Linked DNA regions of Macaca mulatta. The main gene of each other region encodes a partner of the protein of the gene in region 3 in a complex. Links are inferred from orthologs where the notes say so. Each region holds a gene or a part of one and is shown on either strand. Other genes may lie near its edges.

Evidence for each region. Proteins that work in one complex are often made in the same cells at the same time.
Region 1: UBTF (region 3) and POLR2H share a complex: the UniProt entries of both Homo sapiens proteins name them as parts of the pol I pre-initiation complex. The link is inferred for Macaca mulatta from reciprocal best matches to the Homo sapiens genes UBTF and POLR2H.
Region 2: UBTF (region 3) and POLR1C share a complex: the UniProt entries of both Homo sapiens proteins name them as parts of the pol I pre-initiation complex. The link is inferred for Macaca mulatta from reciprocal best matches to the Homo sapiens genes UBTF and POLR1C.

The regions. Positions count from the first base shown.
Region 1 is NC_133407.1:96,502,208-96,508,450, reverse strand, and holds the start of POLR2H (DNA-directed RNA polymerases I, II, and III subunit RPABC3), read right to left. Parts: upstream 3,952-6,243; 5' UTR 3,820-3,951; coding exon 3,747-3,819; exon of another isoform or gene 3,739-3,746; coding exon of another isoform or gene 3,738-3,738; intron 2,348-3,737; coding exon 2,264-2,347; intron 2,181-2,263; coding exon 2,087-2,180; intron 939-2,086; coding exon 855-938; intron 1-854. Other genes in the region: CLCN2 (chloride channel protein 2), read left to right, coding at 5,830-5,892. UniProt on the Homo sapiens protein: DNA-dependent RNA polymerase catalyzes the transcription of DNA into RNA using the four ribonucleoside triphosphates as substrates.
Region 2 is NC_133409.1:138,599,597-138,606,180, reverse strand, and holds the start of POLR1C (DNA-directed RNA polymerases I and III subunit RPAC1), read left to right. Parts: upstream 1-2,633; 5' UTR 2,634-2,654; coding exon 2,655-2,723; intron 2,724-2,850; coding exon 2,851-2,922; intron 2,923-4,881; coding exon 4,882-4,989; intron 4,990-5,247; coding exon 5,248-5,380; intron 5,381-5,938; coding exon 5,939-6,058; intron 6,059-6,147; coding exon 6,148-6,300; intron 6,301-6,497; coding exon 6,498-6,584. Other genes in the region: protein YIPF3, read right to left, coding at 1,134-1,240, 1,428-1,634, 2,269-2,349. UniProt on the Homo sapiens protein: DNA-dependent RNA polymerase catalyzes the transcription of DNA into RNA using the four ribonucleoside triphosphates as substrates.
Region 3 is NC_133421.1:68,590,386-68,596,735, forward strand, and holds the start of UBTF (nucleolar transcription factor 1), read right to left. Parts: upstream 3,760-6,350; 5' UTR 3,620-3,759; intron 2,810-3,619; exon of another isoform or gene 2,735-2,809; intron 2,541-2,734; exon of another isoform or gene 2,247-2,540; intron 2,050-2,246; exon of another isoform or gene 1,835-2,049; intron 1,174-1,834; 5' UTR 1,107-1,173; coding exon 1,049-1,106; exon of another isoform or gene 994-1,048; intron 1-993. UniProt on the Homo sapiens protein: Recognizes the ribosomal RNA gene promoter and activates transcription mediated by RNA polymerase I (Pol I) through cooperative interactions with the transcription factor SL1/TIF-IB complex.

The DNA of each region.
Region 1 (6,243 bases), on a different chromosome or scaffold from region 3:
GAAAAAGAAGAGGCATCTTTCTACTGTTTTGTCACTAGGAACCAAAATTCTGACAAAGATCAATGTACAGATATGTGCAAGGCACTGTTCTTTATATTAGCGAAGGTGGAAAACACCTATATGCCCCAAATCAGGGGAATGGTCAAATGAATCAAGATGTATCCACTTACTGAAATGTTATGCAACTATTAAAACATTTAAGAAAAGCTTCACACTAACATGGGGAAACATATTTTACATAATGTTAAGCAAAAAGAGCAGAAGAAAACATAATAAACACCACAGTCTCAAAGGAAAAAACAGAACACCAGGATATGCAAAAAAGTCTATGTAAAAGGTTATCTCTGGGTATGGAATTACAGGTGACTTTTTTTTTTCCTTCTTCACATTACTCTTCTGCATTTCAAATTGCTTACAAAAAGCACATATTGTTTTAATAAGATTTTAAAGAAAAGAAAAAATAGCTGGACAGGAAAACCAAGGAACTAGGGATTGGGTTACAGAGTAGCAAAACACACACACACACACACACACACACACACACACACACACACACACACACACAGCCTAATAGGATAATCACTTAATGCTGCATTTGTTTCTGGAGAAGCAAGTCTCCTTTGCACTTTACACAGTAAGATAACCAGTTTCTCATCTGGACTGCTGGGCCAGGAGGGCCTGACAAAGAGCAGTCTACCTTTCAGACTGGAAACTGCTCTCAGAACCATTTCTTTCTAGTTCCTACCTAGGTCTGAGGTGCCTGAGGAGAGGGACCCAACAGAGGAAGCAGGAGCATAGCTCAAAGTCTCAGAACACAGAGAGGGAAAAGAACCTCATAAGATTATGTAACTTACAGGCGTGTTGCTGCTTCAGTAGAAGTTTCGTCTCCCTCAATCCTGTACACTTTTCCATACATTACATATTCAAATTGGTCAGCCCTGTGGAGCAATAGCAGCAAAGTTATTCTTAACAGTAATTAACAATATAAAAAATCCCATTTAAAAATGGTTACTGGTCGGCTGGGCGCAGTGTATCAAGCCTGTAATCCCAGCACTTTGGGAGGCTGAGGCGGGCAGATCACGAAGTCAGGAAATCGAGACCATCCTGGCTAACACAGTGAAACCCCATCTCTACTAAAAATATAAAAAAATTAGCCGGGCGTGGTGGCGGGCGCCTGTAGTCCCAGCTACTCGGGACTGGCGTGAACCCAGGAAGCGGAGCTTGTAGTGAGCCGAGATTGAGCCACTGCACTCCAGTCTGGGCGACATAACAAGACTCCGTCTAAAAAAAAAAAAAAAAAAAAAAAAGGCACATTACAAACAAACATGATGTCATTTAGTCCTCGCAGCAACCCCGTGAGCTAGGCATGATCATGATCATCTCTATTCTACTGATGGGGAAACAGGCTGAAGGAGATTAAGGTTACTCAACAAATAAGTGATAGAGCTGAGAAATGAACTCAAGTGGGGTGCCAAAGTCTTTCCATCACACCAAGCTCCCTCCCAAGACACAAGACCCACATAGCCTAGGGCACTCAGCAGTCACCTCCTCAGCCTTCAAAAGGCTACAACTCACAAGCATGTAATCACTGTTATAGATAAATACCTGGTTGTTGGAATTTTTTTCTTTTTTTTTTGAGACAGGGTCTTACTCTGTCACCCAGGCTGGATTGCAGTGGTACAATCATGGCTCACTGCAGCCTCAACCTCCTGGGCTCAGGCAATCCTCCCACCTCAGCCTCCCAGGTAGCTGGAACTACAGGCATATGACAACATGTGCAGCCTTTTTTTTTTTTTTTTCTTTTTTTCTTATTTTTGTAGCAGTGAGGTTTCGCTATGTTGCTCAGGCTGGTTTTGAACTCCTGTACCCAAGCAATCCTCCTGCTCGGCCTCCCAAAGTGCTTAGATTACAGGTGTGAGCCACGGTGTCTGGCCTGTTTGAATTCTTAAGTGCAGAAATTTCCTTAAGGTTACTCAGATTCTGCTGATCATCATTTATTCCAGGAATTAAAGAAGAGTCTTTCTATATCACTTATCTACTTAGTTCTCAAGGCATATTCCAAGTATTACCTTCTCCACTACCTCACCTGGAAGGCCTATCATCAGTGGGGTTGTATTCACCATCATCCAGGGTACCATCTTCATACAAGGTACTAGCTATGACCAACCGGAACTTGTCACCTGAAAATAACAGCAATATCAGAGAGTGAAGAATAGCGGAAGCGGCAAAATGCCTCTTATTATTGTCTGTGTTCAATACTTACCCAAGTCTACAGGGTAAATTTGAATGTTTACATCTAAGATTAGATCCATCTTGAAAGATTCACTCTCACAATGCAGTCGAGACACTGGGGAGAAGCAGGAAAAGAGTGACAGAGGTATTGCCAGGCCCAAGGCAGATCCTACAGTGTGGGATTGTATGCAACAGAATACTCAATCTAACCCAGTCTACAACCACTGGTCTCTCATCTGCTCTCATAGAAATGCAGGCTCCATCAGAACCAGACATGCAAGAAGGAAAAGGGGAGAAAAACTGTGGCAAGTGAACGTAATCCCCAGAAAACAACCAAAGATACTTCAGCAGCAAATAATACCCGGTTCTAGGCCTGCCTGGATGACTGAGAACCTGACTCTGGGCAAGTTATTCAATCATCCAAAGGTTTCCTCTTTCTATGACAGGCACTGTGCTGAGGGGAGTTATCAAGATGTATAAGAACTGGTATCCGTCTTGAAAACATCTGAGTCTCCAGGCAAAGAATGAGACATCAAAAAGAAAATTATTGATAGATGACAAAATTAAGAGGTGTAGGCCAGTGGAGTGGCTCACGCCTGTAATCCCAACATTTTGGGAGGCTGAGGCAGGTGGATCACTTGAGGTCAGGAGTTCGAGACCAGCCTGGCCAAAGTGGTGAAACCCCGTCTCTACTAAAAATACAAAATTAGCCAGGCGTGGTGGAGCATGTCTGTAATCCCAGCTACTTGGGAGGCTGAGGCAGAGAATCGCTTGAACCCGGGAGACGGAGGTTGTGGTGAGCCAAGATCGTGCCACTACACTCCAGCCTGGGCTCGAGGCTCTGTCTCAAAAAAAAAAAAAAAAAGGATATACCAAGCAGCTAACTCTAACTCAGAGAAGACTTAAAGCGCTAAGGATTATGAGGGCAATACAAGAATATAGGCTCTGAAGTCAGATTACTCGCTGTGAAGCCTTGGGTGGATTACTCTCTCAGAAAAAAATGGGGAAGGCACCACCCACCTCATGAGGACTCTCATTTTCTTGAGGAGTCTCGCTCTGTTGCCAGGCTGGAGTGCAGCGGCGCAATCTTGGCTCACTGCAACCTCCGCCTCCCAGGGTCAGGCAATTCTCCTGCCTCAGCCTCCCAAGTAGCTGGGATTACAGGCGCCCGCCTGTAATTTTTGTATTTTTGGTAGAGACGGGGTTTCACCATGTTGGCCAGGCTGGTCTCACAAGACAGTGTCTAGCACAGAGCAGGTAGCGATTATAAAGATGCCCAGGAGTTTGCCAGCACCATGACAAAAGGCCACCTAGGCACCGGGCACGGCATGCGTGAAGCCAGAGAAAGCTCGGGAGTCTCCCTTTTCTCATCCATAAATTGTTTCCTGAGGGAGGTCCCTACATCAGGACCTGCTGGTAGGGGCAGGCCACAAGAGCTGGGTGGACACGGGGTCCAGGGGCATGTCCGCGAGGTTAGCCTCTTCCTCCAAATCGCCCCTACCTACTTTACTTACCTCGGTCAAACTTCTTGCCCTCCGGGTCAATATCCTTCACATCGAAAATATCTTCAAAGAGGATGCCCGCCATCGCGAGGGGGCCACGAGAGCAGCAGAAGGGGTGAGCGGGCGACCACAGCTGGGAGTACGCGCACCCGCTCTGGTGCAGAAGAGGGGAGAAGAGCAAAACCAGCTTTTACATGCGCGGCAGCCAGACAAGAGTGGCGCATGCGCACAAACAAGTGGTAACGCGCCCACTTCCGCCACAGACTCCCGCTCGGGGCTACTTAACTTCCGCCCCAAAAGATTGCTCCCGAGAGGCTTCGGCGTTGAGGGCGGGTCTCACGTCCAGGTGGCCCCGCCCAGGGCGGGGAAACAATAGGTCCAACCTCCCGCGGCTGTAGAGCGGGTTCTAGCGCTCAGCTGGGGCTCTGCTGCGCCCTCTTCAGAGGCCGGGTCCCGAAGATTGGAAGTCGTGGGGGCCTAACCCAGGCAGGGACCTTGATCCTTGGCCCAGAGAAGCCGGGCCCTAGCCCTACCCCGCCGGTCTGCGTGCCCGCCTAGGGCACAGTCCGCGCCGAGGGCAGGTGGAGCAGAACCCCGCCCCAGAGGTGCCCAGCCCCTCCAGCCGGCACCGCGGACCCCGGGGCCTGCCCGGGCCGGCTCGGCCCTGCTGGATGTAACCCGAGCCGGATCCGTCCAGTTTGGGAATTTGCCATGATGTCGCTATGGAGAAGAGGAAAGCCTGTATTGTCCCCTCCCCTCGTACTGCACCCTCCCACCACTGCCCGCTTCCCCCAGGCCCTGCTGTCTTCCCCGTCACCGCCCCCTCAGCCTGGCTCCCGCCACCCGCCTCCCCCGGGCATTACCCCTCCAACTTAGTCCTCCACTGCCTTCTCCTGGACACGGATCCCCTCCGTGCCCCTTCAGCCTGGCACTGCCCTGTCCCTTGGACACCAGCTCTTCCCTCACACTGGCCCTTCCTCCTGGGTACTGGCTTCTATCACAAGGCTCCCCCTTCCCGGGCACTGCCCCCGCCCCCTGAGGCCCTCCTCTGCCTCCCAAATGCCCCTTCCTCCTGGTGCTGGCTGTCCCGCACACTTGTGCGTTTCCTGGGCGCTGCCCTCGCTCCTCTCACACTATCTCTATGCTGCCCATCCACCCTGCGCGCGCTCTGCCATCTGTTCTATCCTTCACCAGCCCCTGATAGAGAACCCAGAGCACCAGCAGGCGGTTCCCCCAAAGCGGAGAGATGGAAGCAGCGACTCTGGTTCCTCCTTGGGCCCAACCAGGGAGAAGCGACCCACGCCCGCGTCCCAGAAGTGGACTTCCCGGCACCTGGAGCTCCCTTCCCTCCGGCCTACCCCTTCCGGTGCCCTCCCCAACCTCCACCCCTGCACACCCCGTAGGCCGGGTTGCTCCAAGTGCACCTCCCCAGGGGAGCCCCGAGAAAAGGAAGGATGAGGAAGACGGCTCCAATTCCCTCCGAATTCTCCCAGCTTTGCTTTTCACCCCTGACGGGGCAGAGGGGCCTTCCTGGGCCTGTCTGGGCCGCTCGTCCCTTCGGAGGGACAGAGGGGAGGCGGCTCCTAACGGGCTGACCCGGAGGAATCCGATGTAGACAGCTCCGCAGCTCCCAGCCCCAACCCCTACGGAGTTCAGGCGTCTGCAGCCCCTCCTGCCTGGGCACTGGGAACTGCGAACCCGGGTGGGCCCCTCCACGTGCCAGTAGACCCGCCCCTCCCGGGCGCCCCTCTCCGACCCGGGCCTCTGCAGGGAGCCGGCGCGGGCTTACGCCTTCCCAGCGCCCTTTGCCGCCTCTCGGGAGGCCCCGCACGGACCCCAGCCTGGCTGGGCCGTCCCCTCCGGATGGGCCGGCGGGCGGAGCAGCGCAGAGGGCACCGCCCTCTGCCCGCCCGCCGAGGAGGGGACGCGAGCGGGAGGCTGCGCCAGCGGCGCCCGCCGGGGGCCCGCCGCACTCTGCTCTCGGCCTCCGGAGCTGCGGGGACGGGACGGCTACCTGCGCTGACTCTGCGGGCCGGGAGCCAAGTCCAGGACAGAGCCGGAGCCGCTGAGGGAGGCGAGAGGGCAGTGCGCGGAGATGGCGGCCGCGGCGGCGGAGGAAGGGATGGAGCCGCGGGCGCTGCAGTACGAGCAGACCCTGGTAAGTGAAGATGAGCTGAGCCCGAGGAGTGCGCTCCGGGACCGCCGCTCCAGGTTACCCTGGGAAGCGCGAGGACCAGGGGCCTACCCTAATCCTGTCCCAGCCTTTTGAGCTGGGGAAACTGAGGCTTGGAAGTTTGAGGCTGCAGGGCCGAAGGGATGGAAACTGCATGCTGGTTTCTGGCTGAGGCTGAGGGCCTGCAGAGGACAAGGACACCAGGTACTTGTCCCAGGTGTCCTTCCCCTGACCCCCCCAACATGCACGTTTTCTTTGCTCCTCCCCTTCACCACTTGGGCCCAAGTCTTAGCACCCCACTGCCCCTTCCGCGGCACCATTCACACCATTGAAGTT
Region 2 (6,584 bases), on a different chromosome or scaffold from region 3:
AAAATTCAGTCACTTGCCCCTTCTCTCAAGTGGCTAGCTCCTAATCATACCTTGGATTTTAGCTAGATTTTACTTCCTCTGGGAAACTTGTCCTGTCCCATCCACCAACCTGCTTTGGCTCACATATCCCTCCTGTGTGCCCCATCATAGCATGAATACTGTGCTGTAACTGCACTCAAGAGCAAGGCTCCTATCTATCTTCACCACTGAACCAGATACAATTAGTATAGGGTCTGGCACAGAGCAAATGCTTAATAAATACTTGCAGAGTGGTCCTGGGTATTTGATTAGCATTGATTAAAGGACGAACAAAAAAACCAAGCCAGGATTAAATCTAGTTCTTGAAAAGTCACTCAAAAACTATGCCCTGATATTTTGATTCTGAGACTGTTCTGCTGCTGGGAATAAAAAGATAAACAAGACAGAGCCTGCTTTTGAGATGCTGTTGGTCTCTGGGGGGAAGATTCCAGGAATAAGAAAGGAAAGCAGTGGTGAAGTGCTGTCTATTAGAGGCAAGCACAGAGTTCTTTTTTTTTTTTTTTTTTTTTTTTAGATGGAGTCTCGCTCTGTGGCCCAGGCTAGAGCGCAGTGGCGCGATCTCGGCTCACCGCAAGCTCTGCCTCCCGGGTTCATGCCATTCTCCTACCTCAGCCTCCCAAGTAGCTGGGACTATAGGTGTCTGCCACCACGCCCGGCTAATTTTTTTTGTATTTTTAGTAGAGACGGGGTTTCAGTGTTAGCCAGGATGGTCTCGATCTCCTGCTCTTGTGATCCACCCGCCTCAGCCTCCCAAAGTGCTGGGATTACAGGCGTGAGCCACCGCGCCCGGCTGCCAAGCACAAAGTTCTATAGGAACACCAGGAGAGAACAAACTGGGGGTGGGATTGAGGAATGTGGAACAGAGGAAGTGACATCTGAGGTAGGTTTTGAGGGAATATGAGTAGTCAGCTAGATGGAAAAAAGGAGAAAGTTGGTAGCTATTATTATTTGTTTCAGTGACAGGTGTAGTGATGAGAGATGATGGGGTCATGAAGAGGGGGAGCCCACCAGAGCCCAGGGCTTGAAATCTGATTGTAGTGTGCATAAAGGACTAGGTGTTAGGAGGGAAGCTTCTTCAAGAGAAGGCTCCTCACCTGCTCCGCACCTGAGCAGGCTCCACATCAAAGTACGGTCTGAGGATGTCGATGTTGGCGTACAAGCTGAAGGCCCTGGAGGCTTGTCTCTTCCCGGCCTGCCACATCTGAAGTAAGGAAGATGGGCATAGGTATTGTGGGACTGTTGGTTCTAGACCCTGTTGCCTATTTTCCGCTTGATTTCTACATGGTTCTAACTGGACAACCTGGGGCAAACATCACCAACACCAACTCCAGAACATGGGACATACCTAGGTATACCTTTCCACCTGCAGAAGATTCAATCATGCTTACCTGATCTGCCACCTGCCGGCTCAGCTGTCCCTTAAAGCCTTTCATGCCCAGGAACTCTCCATCCTCTTCTTCAGCAGCAGCTGCATCAGCTGCATCAGCGTCTACTTCTTCCTCGCGCAGGCGCTGATGCAGCTCACCCATATCCTCGAAGCTAGAGCCTGAGGTATCATCCATGTTCTCCATGTCAATCACAGCTGAGCCTCCGCCCTGTGAAGACAATGGCTCCTAGAGTGCAGGACTTTTCTGTTCCATCCATTAAGTCCTCTGCTCATCCCAGGGTTTAGGGCTTTGTTCTTCCACTGCTGAGGATACGGCTCGGAATCACTACAGATCATGCCACTCCATTCCCCCTCATATGCTCTCAGAACTCTTGGTTTCTAGCTTTGGCTGAATTTTCTAGCCTGGGAAACATACTACTAGTCTTCCATTCCTGTCTTTTTCCTACCTTACCTACCAAAGACTAAAAGGCTGAAAAAGTGCCCATTTCCTTCTTTCCTAAGCCCCAAACAAAACTATACACATAATATGTTTTCAGCGAATGCCAGTGAATCCCACCCAACCCCACTCCATGCCTGACCCCGACCAACTTCCTAACTTGTTCCAAGAATACCTTCTTCCTAATGCCTCGAGCGGGCCCAGAGACCCGAGACCCTCAGGCTGGAGTACTAGTCTGGCCCTTTCAGGTCAATGTTAATCCTACTGACTTTAGTGTGCACGAAGACCCAAAGAAGAGAGTTTTGCAAATGGAGCGGACTTCCAGGCCCACAGGAAGAATCCTCAAGACACTTCTGGACATCGCTGGCCCTCGGGTTGCTGGCAGCTAGTGCCTTGGGGCCATTACCTGGATGTTTTCTTCGAACCCTCCCCATTCCGGGCCAGCTCCATTTCGGGCGCCGCCCGCCGGCGCCGCTGTAGTTGCCATGTCCCTTGAAGGCTCCCGTCGCTGAAGCCCGCGCTAGCCCCGCGCGCGGAGGAGTGGGCGAGACGTGGGCCTTAGTGAGGGAGACGTCCCGGGTCGAGGAGAGGTGGGATCGGCCGGAACACAAAAAAGAGAAGCCCGGATGTTTGGACAAAACCAACTTCCGGAGGCTGGGGACGTGGACGGAAGCGGGGAAAAGTCTCGCGATATTTAAGATTCCAGGCGGTGGCGCGTTGCCACGGAGACGGAGCCAGTCTACTAGGACGCACGCGCCAGATAGAGCCTCCAGTCTCGTGGAGAGATTGAAGATGGCGGCTTCTCAGGCGGTGGAGGAGATGCGGGGCCGCGTGGTTCTAGGGGAGTTTGGGGTTCGCAATGTAAGCCTTGTGGCCTTGAGCTCGGGCGGGAGGAATGAGAGCGGAACAGGGGTGGGTCTTGGGATTGGCGTGGGGATAGCCGTGGGCTCATTGTCCCTTTGTGGACAAACTCGTCCCTTTGCTCTAGGTCCATACCACTGACTTTCCCGGAAACTATTCCGGTTATGATGATGCCTGGGACCAGGACCGCTTCGAGAAGGTAAGTGGGGCCGAAGTTGTCTGGGGAGGGTTATGAAGGCCAGACCCTGTGGCCTGAGCAGCCTGTGTCTGTCTCAGCAGCTGCTTTTGGGGGTCGCTCCGTTTGTGTTTGTTGAGCAATGTGCTAGACGCTCCGTTTACAGGCCAAATTAGACACGGTTTCTATCTCTGCAGAGATATTCCGTCTTGTTGAGGAATGGTGCGTATAAACAAGTGCATCTAGTGTAATATGGTGAAGGTGGTTGATAGCGATGAAGACGGCAGGGTTGGGGTGGGGAGCATTCCGCTGAGACCAGGAAGAGGGGCCGAGAGGTACTTAACATTTCAAGAGGAGGGGACACCTGAATTGAACCTTGAATGGTAAGTAAAAAAAAAAACAGGAGTTGAATTATGAAAGATTTGAGTTTCACGTCAGTGAAGTTCAGGATATGCAGGTTTTGTGTGTATTTAGTCTTTTGTATTATTGTTTCACTTAGCTTAAAATAAGGGTTAAAATTGCATTTAAATAGATTACTGAATGTTACTCTTTATGCAACTGACCTAAATGTTACCCTTTATGCAGCTTATAAACATGATGTGTAAATCAGTGCCTGGGAAAATTTTACTTTTTTAACCTGTTGATACAAGGAATAAAGTATGAACAATGAAAAAGGCTAATGCTTGAAAAAAAATTATGACTTCTGTGACATGTGCTCCGGGAATGTCCAAGTAGTTCTGGCATGAGTGGTCGGCAAGATTGAAGTGTGTCACACTGTGGATGATAGGGAGCTTGAATAGTTTCTTAAGCAGACATGATCAGATTTGCAACCTTGATGGCTGGGAGGGAATGAGTTTGAGGAGGATCATATGGAGCAGGCAGATCTGTTGTAAGGGAAGCTGAGGTTGAAGATATGAACTAAGACTGATGGTAGAAATAGAGCAAAGGAAGAATATAAGGTAAATTTATGATTGCTTGGATAAAGGCTGTGGGGGTAGCATAAAATGACTTTTTCTGGCTTGGGAACTGCTTTTTGCTTTGTGGTATCATTTACTAAGAGGAGAAATGGGTCTGGGGAACAGGGATGATGATGCATTGTTTTCTGTATGTGGGGAAATCTAGCAGGCTAGAAGACTGCATGCTTGAAATGAGATCAGAAGTGAGATAAAATTTTGGGAGTTGTCAGAACAGATAGTTGCTAAAACTGTTAGTACAGTTAAGGTGACCTGGGAGAGAGACAAGAACCTGGCAAATTTAGAGATGGGTGGAAGTTGATCATCAGAGATGGAAGAAGAGTGGAGCTCAGAAACCAGGGGAATCGTTCAAAAAAGGGGATTTTTTTTTTTTTTTTCCTTTTCATGAGACACTCTTATCTCCCAGGCTGGAGTGCAGTGGTGCAATCTTGGCTCACTGCAACCTCCGCCTCCTGGGTTCAGGCAGTTCTCCTGCCTCAGCCTCCCGAGTAGCTGGGACTACAGCTACGCGCCACCATGCCCAGCTAATTTTTTGAATTTTTAGTAGAGACGGGGTTTCACCATGCTGGCCAGGCTGGTCTCAAACTCCTGACCTTGTGATCCGCCCCTCGGCCTCCCATAGTGCTGGGATTACAGGTGTGAGTCACCGTGCTGGGCCCAGAGGAGGTTTTTTAATCAATGTCAAGCATAACAGAAGTCTAGTAAGAGGACTGGGTAGTGTCAACAGGACTAAGCACTATGGTAGTTTCTGTTCTTTAGTGGAATAGCTTCTGTGGATGGTTTGGTTGGAAGCCATATTGCATAGGGTTTTAATGAATGGACGACAAAAATGGAGACTTTTTATGAAACTAAAGCACTGGGCGAGAAAGAATATTTAATAAGGGACATCTGGGCAAAGGGAGGTTTTTGGATGAGAGGATAATACTTGAGGGAATTATCTAAGGGGGAGGTATGAAGAGATATTACAGAGAGAGCAGGTTTCACTTAAATGTTTTTCCTGTCCCTCTAGAATTTCCGTGTGGATGTAGTACACATGGATGAAAACTCACTGGAGTTCGACATGGTGGGAATTGACGCAGCCATTGCCAATGCTTTTCGACGAATTCTGTTAGCTGAGGTATTGGCAGGCATGGTGACAAGGCTGGAGTTGCTTTGGGAACTGCACTGACACCTCACTTGGAGAATTGTCTCAAGCTGTCCTTCCCTCATTTTTCCTGGAATTTTGCTGAGCATTTTACCTTCTCATTCTTTGTAAATTTCTCATTAAACATTCTAGGAAGAGAGATAGCTCCTTACCTCTGGAGGGTGGGGTTGTGGGGATAGGTAGGGGGTCTGTTGGGTTTTTGCAGATAAGTGGTTATTTTTCCTTGGGCAGGTGCCAACTATGGCTGTGGAGAAGGTCCTGGTGTACAATAATACATCCATTGTTCAGGATGAGATCCTTGCTCACCGTCTGGGGCTCATTCCCATTCATGCTGATCCCCGTCTTTTTGAGTATCGGAATCAAGGTAAGAAAATGAAATTTTGGGAGAAGTGGACTGTCTGGGTTCAAATCCTGGTTGACTGTGATGTTGGGTAAGTTACTTATGTTTGTACATCAGTGTTTTTCATCTGTGAGAACACTTGCCTTGGCTTCCCAAGTTTGCCGTAATTAAATGGGACACATATGTAAAGCATTCAGCATAGTGCTGGCACTCAGATGTTTACTAGTTCTTTTTTTTTTTTTCTTTTTTTTTTTTTTTGAGACGGAGTCTCGCTGTGTCGCCCAGGCTGGAGTGCAGTGGCCGGATCTCAGCTCACTGCAAGCTCTGCCTCCCGGGTTTTTACGCCATTCTCCTGCCTCAGCCTCCCGAGTAGCCGGGACTACAGGCGCCCGCCACCTCGCCCGGCTAGTTTTTGTATTTTTTAGTAGAGACGGGGTTTCACGGTGTTAGCCAGGATGGTCTCGAACTCCTGACCTCGTGATCCGCCCGTCTCGGCCTCCCAAAGTGCTGGGATTACAGGCTTGAGCCACCGCGCCCGGCCAGATGTTTACTAGTTCTTAAGAGCTCCCTCCATTTGTGCAGGAGATGAAGACGGCACAGAGATAGATACCCTACGGTTTCGTCTCCAAGTCAGATGCACTCGGAACCCCCATGCTGCTAAAGATTCCTCTGACCCCAACGAACTGTATGTGAACCACAAAGGTAAGTAGTGGTAGGGTGAGGAAGAGGCCCCACCTGTGGGTGGCTGCTAGTTTTAGGAACTGAAATCTTTTGACATGTTTTTCCTCCAGTGTATACCAGGCATATGACATGGATCCCCCTGGGGAATCAGGCTGATCTTTTCCCAGAGGGCACTATCCGACCAGTGCACGATGACATCCTCATTGCTCAGCTGCGGCCTGGCCAAGAAATTGACCTGCTTATGCACTGTGTCAAGGGCATTGGTGAGAACCCTGTGTTCCTTCCTGGGAAGAGGGGTAGTTTGGTTGCAGTGGGGCAAGCTGACTAGGGAACTCAGCTGAGATATTCCTAGCAGGTAGAAAGCCAAGAGCATCGTGCTTTTGCTGTTAGCAGCTTAGGAAGAGTATTCTTCCTAATCCTAGAAGGGTTTCGTATAGGCACTTTCTCTCTTCCTCTCCAGGCAAAGATCATGCCAAGTTTTCACCAGTGGCAACAGCCAGTTATAGGCTCCTGCCAGACATCACCCTGCTTGAGCCCGTGGAAGGGG
Region 3 (6,350 bases):
CTAAATGTGCTGCCAAGTTCAAGTTCTGAGTGGATATTCTAAATGTGCAAGGACTGAGGATGGGGTGTGGGCAGTAAGGAAAATTCATGCACATGTTTCTCCTGCACAGCTGGAGACCAATGTTAGAGATACCCACTATCCCCTAGCCCCTCAAGGCAGATCAAGGGAGAATTTCTGGCAAATAAGAAAAAAGAAACAGAAACAGAAGCAGGATACAGGGCAACTCTGAGGCAAAGTAGGCAGGTGCACAAAAGCTCTCAGGGCCCTGATCCAGGGAGAACCCCCAGAATTACAAGCTGTCTTGTCAGCCCAGCTCCCCAGGGAAGCAAGACCAGGTCTGGACCAGTTATTTTCAGCCACTGAAATGCAGCCCCAGAGAGCTCTAGGCCTCTGTGGATGGGCTGGGAGAATAGTCACCCAAGGCCAGAAGTCAAAAGGGCTCTCCATTTTCATTCGCATCTCGTAACCTAGGCCAGGGATTCTGCAGAATGGGCCACAAGGACCCATAATCCCCTCTCCCCTCAATGTCCCACAAGCATGGCCAGCTGCCCAGCTCCATCCTACCCTCCACCCCCATCCAAACTGGATCACTGCTGAATGAGGCAGAGATCTAGTTGAGTACATATATCCCATGGCTTGGGGCCTCAAACCACCACAACAGCCCTCTTCTCCACCTGCCTCTACAAAAGCCTCATGGTCTTCCTAAAAAGCCTGAGAAGCCTTCCCTCTACAGTCATCATTCCTCCCATTCCAGGACACTGGGCTGGGACACACTTAAGGTTGAATGCAAACCCCAGAAGGCAGGCCTCCTCTAACATAGGGTGTGAGGGACAGGGAGAGAGGGGAGGTAAGCCACTCCAGGCCAAAAAATTTGGATTCAGCCAAACCAATCAAGTGTGGGAGATGCTTGATTCATAAGTACTCAAGGCACTTTCTCCCCCAATTCAGTGTATGCAGACTGGAAAAGCCCTTGAAGAAGGCAGTGTGCCCCACAGCCACGAGGCAAAGAGGGTTTAAGTTTCAGAGGGCTGGGAGTGGATGCCCCTACCTTGGCCTTTGGGGGCGGCCATTTCCAGGTCTGTGGGGCAGTCGGCTTCTCCGTTCATCCTCCAGCTGTCCAGCCACCTCCTCGGTCGTGCTGGCCGGGCAACCCGGGGTCAAAGCCACCTCACCCTTTGGAAGACATACAAGTTCCCACTCAGGAAGGCTGAGAGGTGAACGACTTTCTAACCCTCCCCGCCCAGAGTAAAGGTGGGCAGGTCCACGCTCTCAGAGACCCAGCCATAACCTTATCAGACTTAAGGGGTCTCTGGGAGGGAGAGTACGCCCCTCCTCTTCTTCCTGACCCCCCTCCCCCAGCCCCTGCGGCCCGGCTCCGCGGCGCGCGCCCTCCCCTGCCCACGCGAGGGCCTGCTCCCAGCTCCCGCGTGCAGCGAGCGCCCGCCCTCCGCCCCCCTTCCCCAACCCCAGCCAAAAAAAAAAAAAATCTCCTCCTCCTCTGAGCGCCCGCCCCGGGGAGGCCCCAGGCTGGAGGGCGGGGGAAGAGGAAGGGCGGGTAAAGGGCGCGCGCGGCCACGGAAGCGGGCACGCGCCCCAGTCTCCTCCTCCCGCCTCCCCCCAGCCGGTTCCCCCCGCCTCCGCAACCCGGCGGGGACCCGGACGCAGCGCAGCCGCCGCCAGCCCCGGAGCGCAGCGGCCGCACCGCCCCCGGGGACCGGATCCGGATTCTCGCCGCTCCCCCCTCCCGGGCTCCCTTCGCCGTCCCCGCCCGCACAGGCGGGCGAGCAGCCGGAGAGAAGCGGCCTAGCCTGCCCCCCGCCCCCGAGCCACCCACCCCGGCCAGAGGCGCCGCCACCACCCAGCCACCCCGACGCGCACGGAGGAGCCCGGCACAGAGGCGCGACCGCGGCGGGAACCGCCGCCTCCTCCCCCGAGCCTGCGGCCCAGCCCCGCCGGCGCCCCCGCCCCGGCCTCCGGGGAGCCGAGCCAAGGAGAGGGCGGGAGGACGGCGGCCGGGAGGCGGGGGCGCAGCGCTCACCGGCCCCGCCGCCCCCTCCGGCGGCCGGGGAGAACTGCGCCTGCCGGATCCGAGAAGCGCGGGCTCCTCCGCCAGCGGCCGTGGCTCGGCTCAGGCCTCGCTTCCTGCCTTCCCCTCCCCCGGCTCTCGGCGTCCTCCCAAGTGCCCTGGTCTGCTCGCGCCCGGTCCCCTGCTCGGTGGTCGCTCCGGGTCCCTGCTGGGCGCCCACCGCAACCCGCGGTTCGCTCCCTGCTGTCCGGCCCCGAACCCAGCGCGCGTTCTCAGCCGCCTCGGTTACCCGGCGCAGCGCGGCCTCCGGGCTTCCCGCTCCGGCGGCTCCCTCCCCGGCTCTGAGTGGCGGCGCCCTCCCCCGCTCGGCCGGGCACAGCCGCAGCTCCCTCCCGCGGCGGCAGCGGCTCCTCCTCCGGGCGAGGCGGCGGCGCTGGGGCGGCGGCTGCTGCTGCTGTGGCGGCGGCGGCGGCGGCTGTGGCTGCTGCCTGCTGCTCCTCGCGGCGAAAAGCACAAAGCACAGCGCCCTCCGCCTGCAGGCAGCCCGCCCGCCGCCGGCCCCGGCCTCAGCTCGCACACCCCCCGCCGCCGCCGCAGCCTCAGCCGCCGGAGCGGGGAGGAGGAGGGAGAAGGGAGGAGGAGGAGCGGGAGGGGGGGCGGGAGAAGCGGGGCAGCGAGCGCGTCCTTCCCCGTAGAGCGCACACCGACCCCCGGGGAGCGAGCGCCAGCCCGCCCGCCTCGCCGGCTCCGCTCCCTCCCACAGCCTGCCCGGGCGGGCTCCGCGGGGGGCAGCTGGGAGGAGGGGCGGGAGCTGGGGGGACCCGGGCGGCCGAGGCGGAGGGAAGGAAGGAGGGGAGGGGGGTGGTGGTGGTGCTGGTGCTGGTGGCGGCGGCGGCTGCTGCTGCTGCTGCTGCCGCCGCCGCCGCCGCCGGGGAAGGGGGGGGCCGGGGCAGGGAGACACGCAGCCGCCCGGATGGCGGCGGGGCTCGGAGCCGGGGCGGGCGGGCGGGCGGGCGCCGAGAGCGACCTCGCCAGACCCGCGGGGGAACTAGCAGGCTTTGCCGGCGCGGGAGGGAGGGCCGAGGCGCGGCCGCGGAGAGGGTGCCCGGAGGGGCCCCCGGCGGCCAGGAAGGCTTGGGGGGCGCCCACAGCCCTGCTCCGGAGCTCTCCCCCAAGTCCTCCCAGCTCAGACTGGGGCTTCCAGGCCAGCTCTCTCCCGCCTCCCGGAGCGAGCGGTCCGCGCCCACCCTCATCCCCCGGAGCGTGGCCACTGGTTTGGGGCGCACGCACGCCGATCGCGGCGTCCAGCTTCGGCGCCTACCTCGCGATCCTCTCATTGCCGAACGGTACATAGGAAACTTTAAAAAAACCCAAAACCGAAAATCTCTGCATTAAAAAAAAAAATCCCCGTTGCTCTTTACACCCCGGAAACGGCGAGGGAACGACGGGCTCCGGCGGAGGGGCCGCTGTGGGAGCCGGTTCAATCCAGCCCGGCATGGCTCCCCAGGCCTGCCCGGGCGCATGGAGATCGGTGCCGCCGCCACTCGTAGCAACCCCTCTCCCCCGAAATCCGCGGCGCCCGGGCTCACTTACCGAGCGTGTGGATGGGAGCGCAGGCCGGGGGCACCTGGGAGCACGGCGGGCGGAACAGCCGAGCCGCAGCTCCGCTGCAGCCGACGCCGGGGCAGCGAGTCGCCAGACAAAGCCCGAGATGGCGAAGCGGAGCGACGGCTAATGGCGAGCCCCACGCGCCGCGCTCCGCCCGCCCCGCTCCGCCCGCCCGCCCGCCCGCCTCGGCGCAGCGCAGCGCCGCTCCGAGCGCTTGCCCGTCAGAGCCGCCTCGGCGCCGCCGCCTCCCGGGCCACCCCGGCCTCGCCTGGCCCCTCCGCCTCCTCCGGGCGGCTCAGCCTCACCCCTTCCCTCCCACTGCTTTAGGGGTTGCACAAAAAAAAATTTTTTTTTTAAAGTAAAATGGTTTTCTTCCTTTTTTTTCTTTTTTCCTTTTTTGCAGGGCGGGCGTGTTGAGACTTTTGGATCTTTCTGCCCGCAGCTCGCACTCACCTGCGGAGCCGCCGGGAGGGCTAGGGGTGGGGGCGCGCGGGGCTGGAGCCGGCGAGCGCGGGTTGAAAGCCAGCCAAGCTCTGCAGCGCCCGACCCGGGCGTGTACGCCGCCGCCAGTCCCCGCAGAGAAATCGTCCTCCTACCCCCGCCTCCATCGCTCTGCGTTTCTCTTCCAATCAGCCGGTCGCTTGGTGGCTCCTCCATTCTCCGGCCAAGCCCAGCTGCCTAGAGCGAGCTCCACTCCTCCATCTGTTCGCCGGGGTCCTCGCTCCCCTGCCGGGGCTGGGAGGCGGCGTGAGGCCGGAGGGGGATTTGCAAGGAAACCTGCCTGCTTCCCGCTCCCATTGCTCCATCCCCGCTGCCTCCTGCCTCCTGCTTCTCTCCTGCGTCTTTCCAACTCTCCCCTGTCGCCACTGGTGTGTGTCTGAGTGTGTGCGCGGTTTTTTTTTTTTTTTTTATTGCTCTTTGCTTTTGCAACCCTGAAGCAAAAGGGAGGGGGGGTAGTTACAGGGGAAAAAAAAAAAAAGCGAGAAAGAAGCTCTTAGATTTGCAACACATCGGAAAACCGAGGGAGCACCCCGCCTTATCCGATCTCCATGCTCCGCGAGGGCCTTCCGGGTTTTAAAAGGACGAGCTTATCAATGTCCCCCTCTTCGCTGGGTTTAGGATCCGAGGAGTCCGAGCAAAAAGTTCTCCCCCTGGGTCGTAGTGAGGGGTGTCAGGGTGGGAGTTGCGGGGATTTTTCAAGAAGAAGCGGCTATCCTTCCTACCCCGGCGTCGGTCACTGGGCGGGGGTAGGGGAAAGAGCAAAATCCCAGTGGGTTTGCGCGAGGGATCTTCTGGGGTCGAGGCGGGGCGGGGGGGAGTCGGAACCGGGAGACACCACTTGGCGCATCTCCCCCTCGGTCTATACCTCCTGTCTTTTGCCAGCTCCCCCTTTAATTTTTTTTCTCTCCTTTAATCTAATTTCTTCCAACTCCACCTTTGTTGTTACCGGCGTCACGCCCGGACCAGCCAATCCTCGCCACGCAATCAGCTTGTCAAAAAGCCTCGGCCGGCCCTGGGAAAGCAGGCCGCAGGCGCTGCCCCCCGGCGGCGGCGGGCAGCCGCGAGGGGAGCCCAGCACCCGGTTCTCGCTGCTCCGGGCGGCAGCGGAGCAGCCTGCGACGAGACGTCTCCCGGTTCACTAAACTGCAGGCCGGGGATGAAAGGCCTGGACGGGGTCCACCACCCACCCTCCCACTATCATGGCTGTGGTTGTCTGTCTTTGCCTCCCCTTTTCAGAGGAAAGGTTATCAGGACAGGACGCAGGGAGCCAGAAGACCATCTGAAGGAAGCCTGCTTCCAGCAGGCCCAGTCTCCAGCCACCGCTTCTGGGGCAGCGCCATTGCTCCTGGCTCTCAGGCTGCCAGTCTCCCACACCGAGGCTCTACTGCCCGCATCTCGGCCAGCTGGATCACCCAGCCCCTTTCGACTCTCCCCTGGCATGCAGCCTTCTCCTCCACTCGGCCTGCCTCTTTGCTGCTGTAATTCCTCTTGTCTCCTGGGAGAAATGAGATTGTTTTCCCAGGACTTCCAGATCCCACTTCTGTCACGTTTCACAAACAGGGAGGAAGCCCTGTCAAGATCTGGTGTGTCCTGTTTTTGTTTGTTTGTTTGTTTTTGGGGGCACTGGCATATAGGAGAGGCAGATTTACCACTCGTAGATTAATTTCAGCTTCTAGGCCCCTAACTTTCAGGACCTGCCCAAGACCCTGAACTTAATTTTGTTTTCATCTTTTTTTTTTTTTTTTTTTTTTTGTCAAAAGAGCCACCGACCACCTACCCCTCACCCCGCAATTGCACATGTTTCTGGCCTTACAAACCCAGATTGGCCCTTGGAATATACACAGGGCAATTTGTGTAGGATCACACTGCACTAAAAGTGAGGCATGGTGGGCTAGGCGTACTGGCTCACACCTGTAATCCCAGCACTTTGGGAGACCCAGACAGGAGGTCTTAAGTGATTAAGCCCAGGAGTTCAAGATCAGCTTAGACAACATAGCAAGACCCTGCCTCTACAAACACACACACACCCTATTATAATACGTTAAAAAAAAAAAAAAAAGGAAAAGTGAGGCATAGAACTGACTTGTTTTGACTAGGAAAGAGCAAAGGGTTTGGAATCCAAAGTTTCAGCTTCCCCACCTTCTTAATAGTGTGTGAATCTGAGTGTCTTATTAACTTTCCCTGGTCCCAGTTTCCATATCTGTAAAATTAGAAT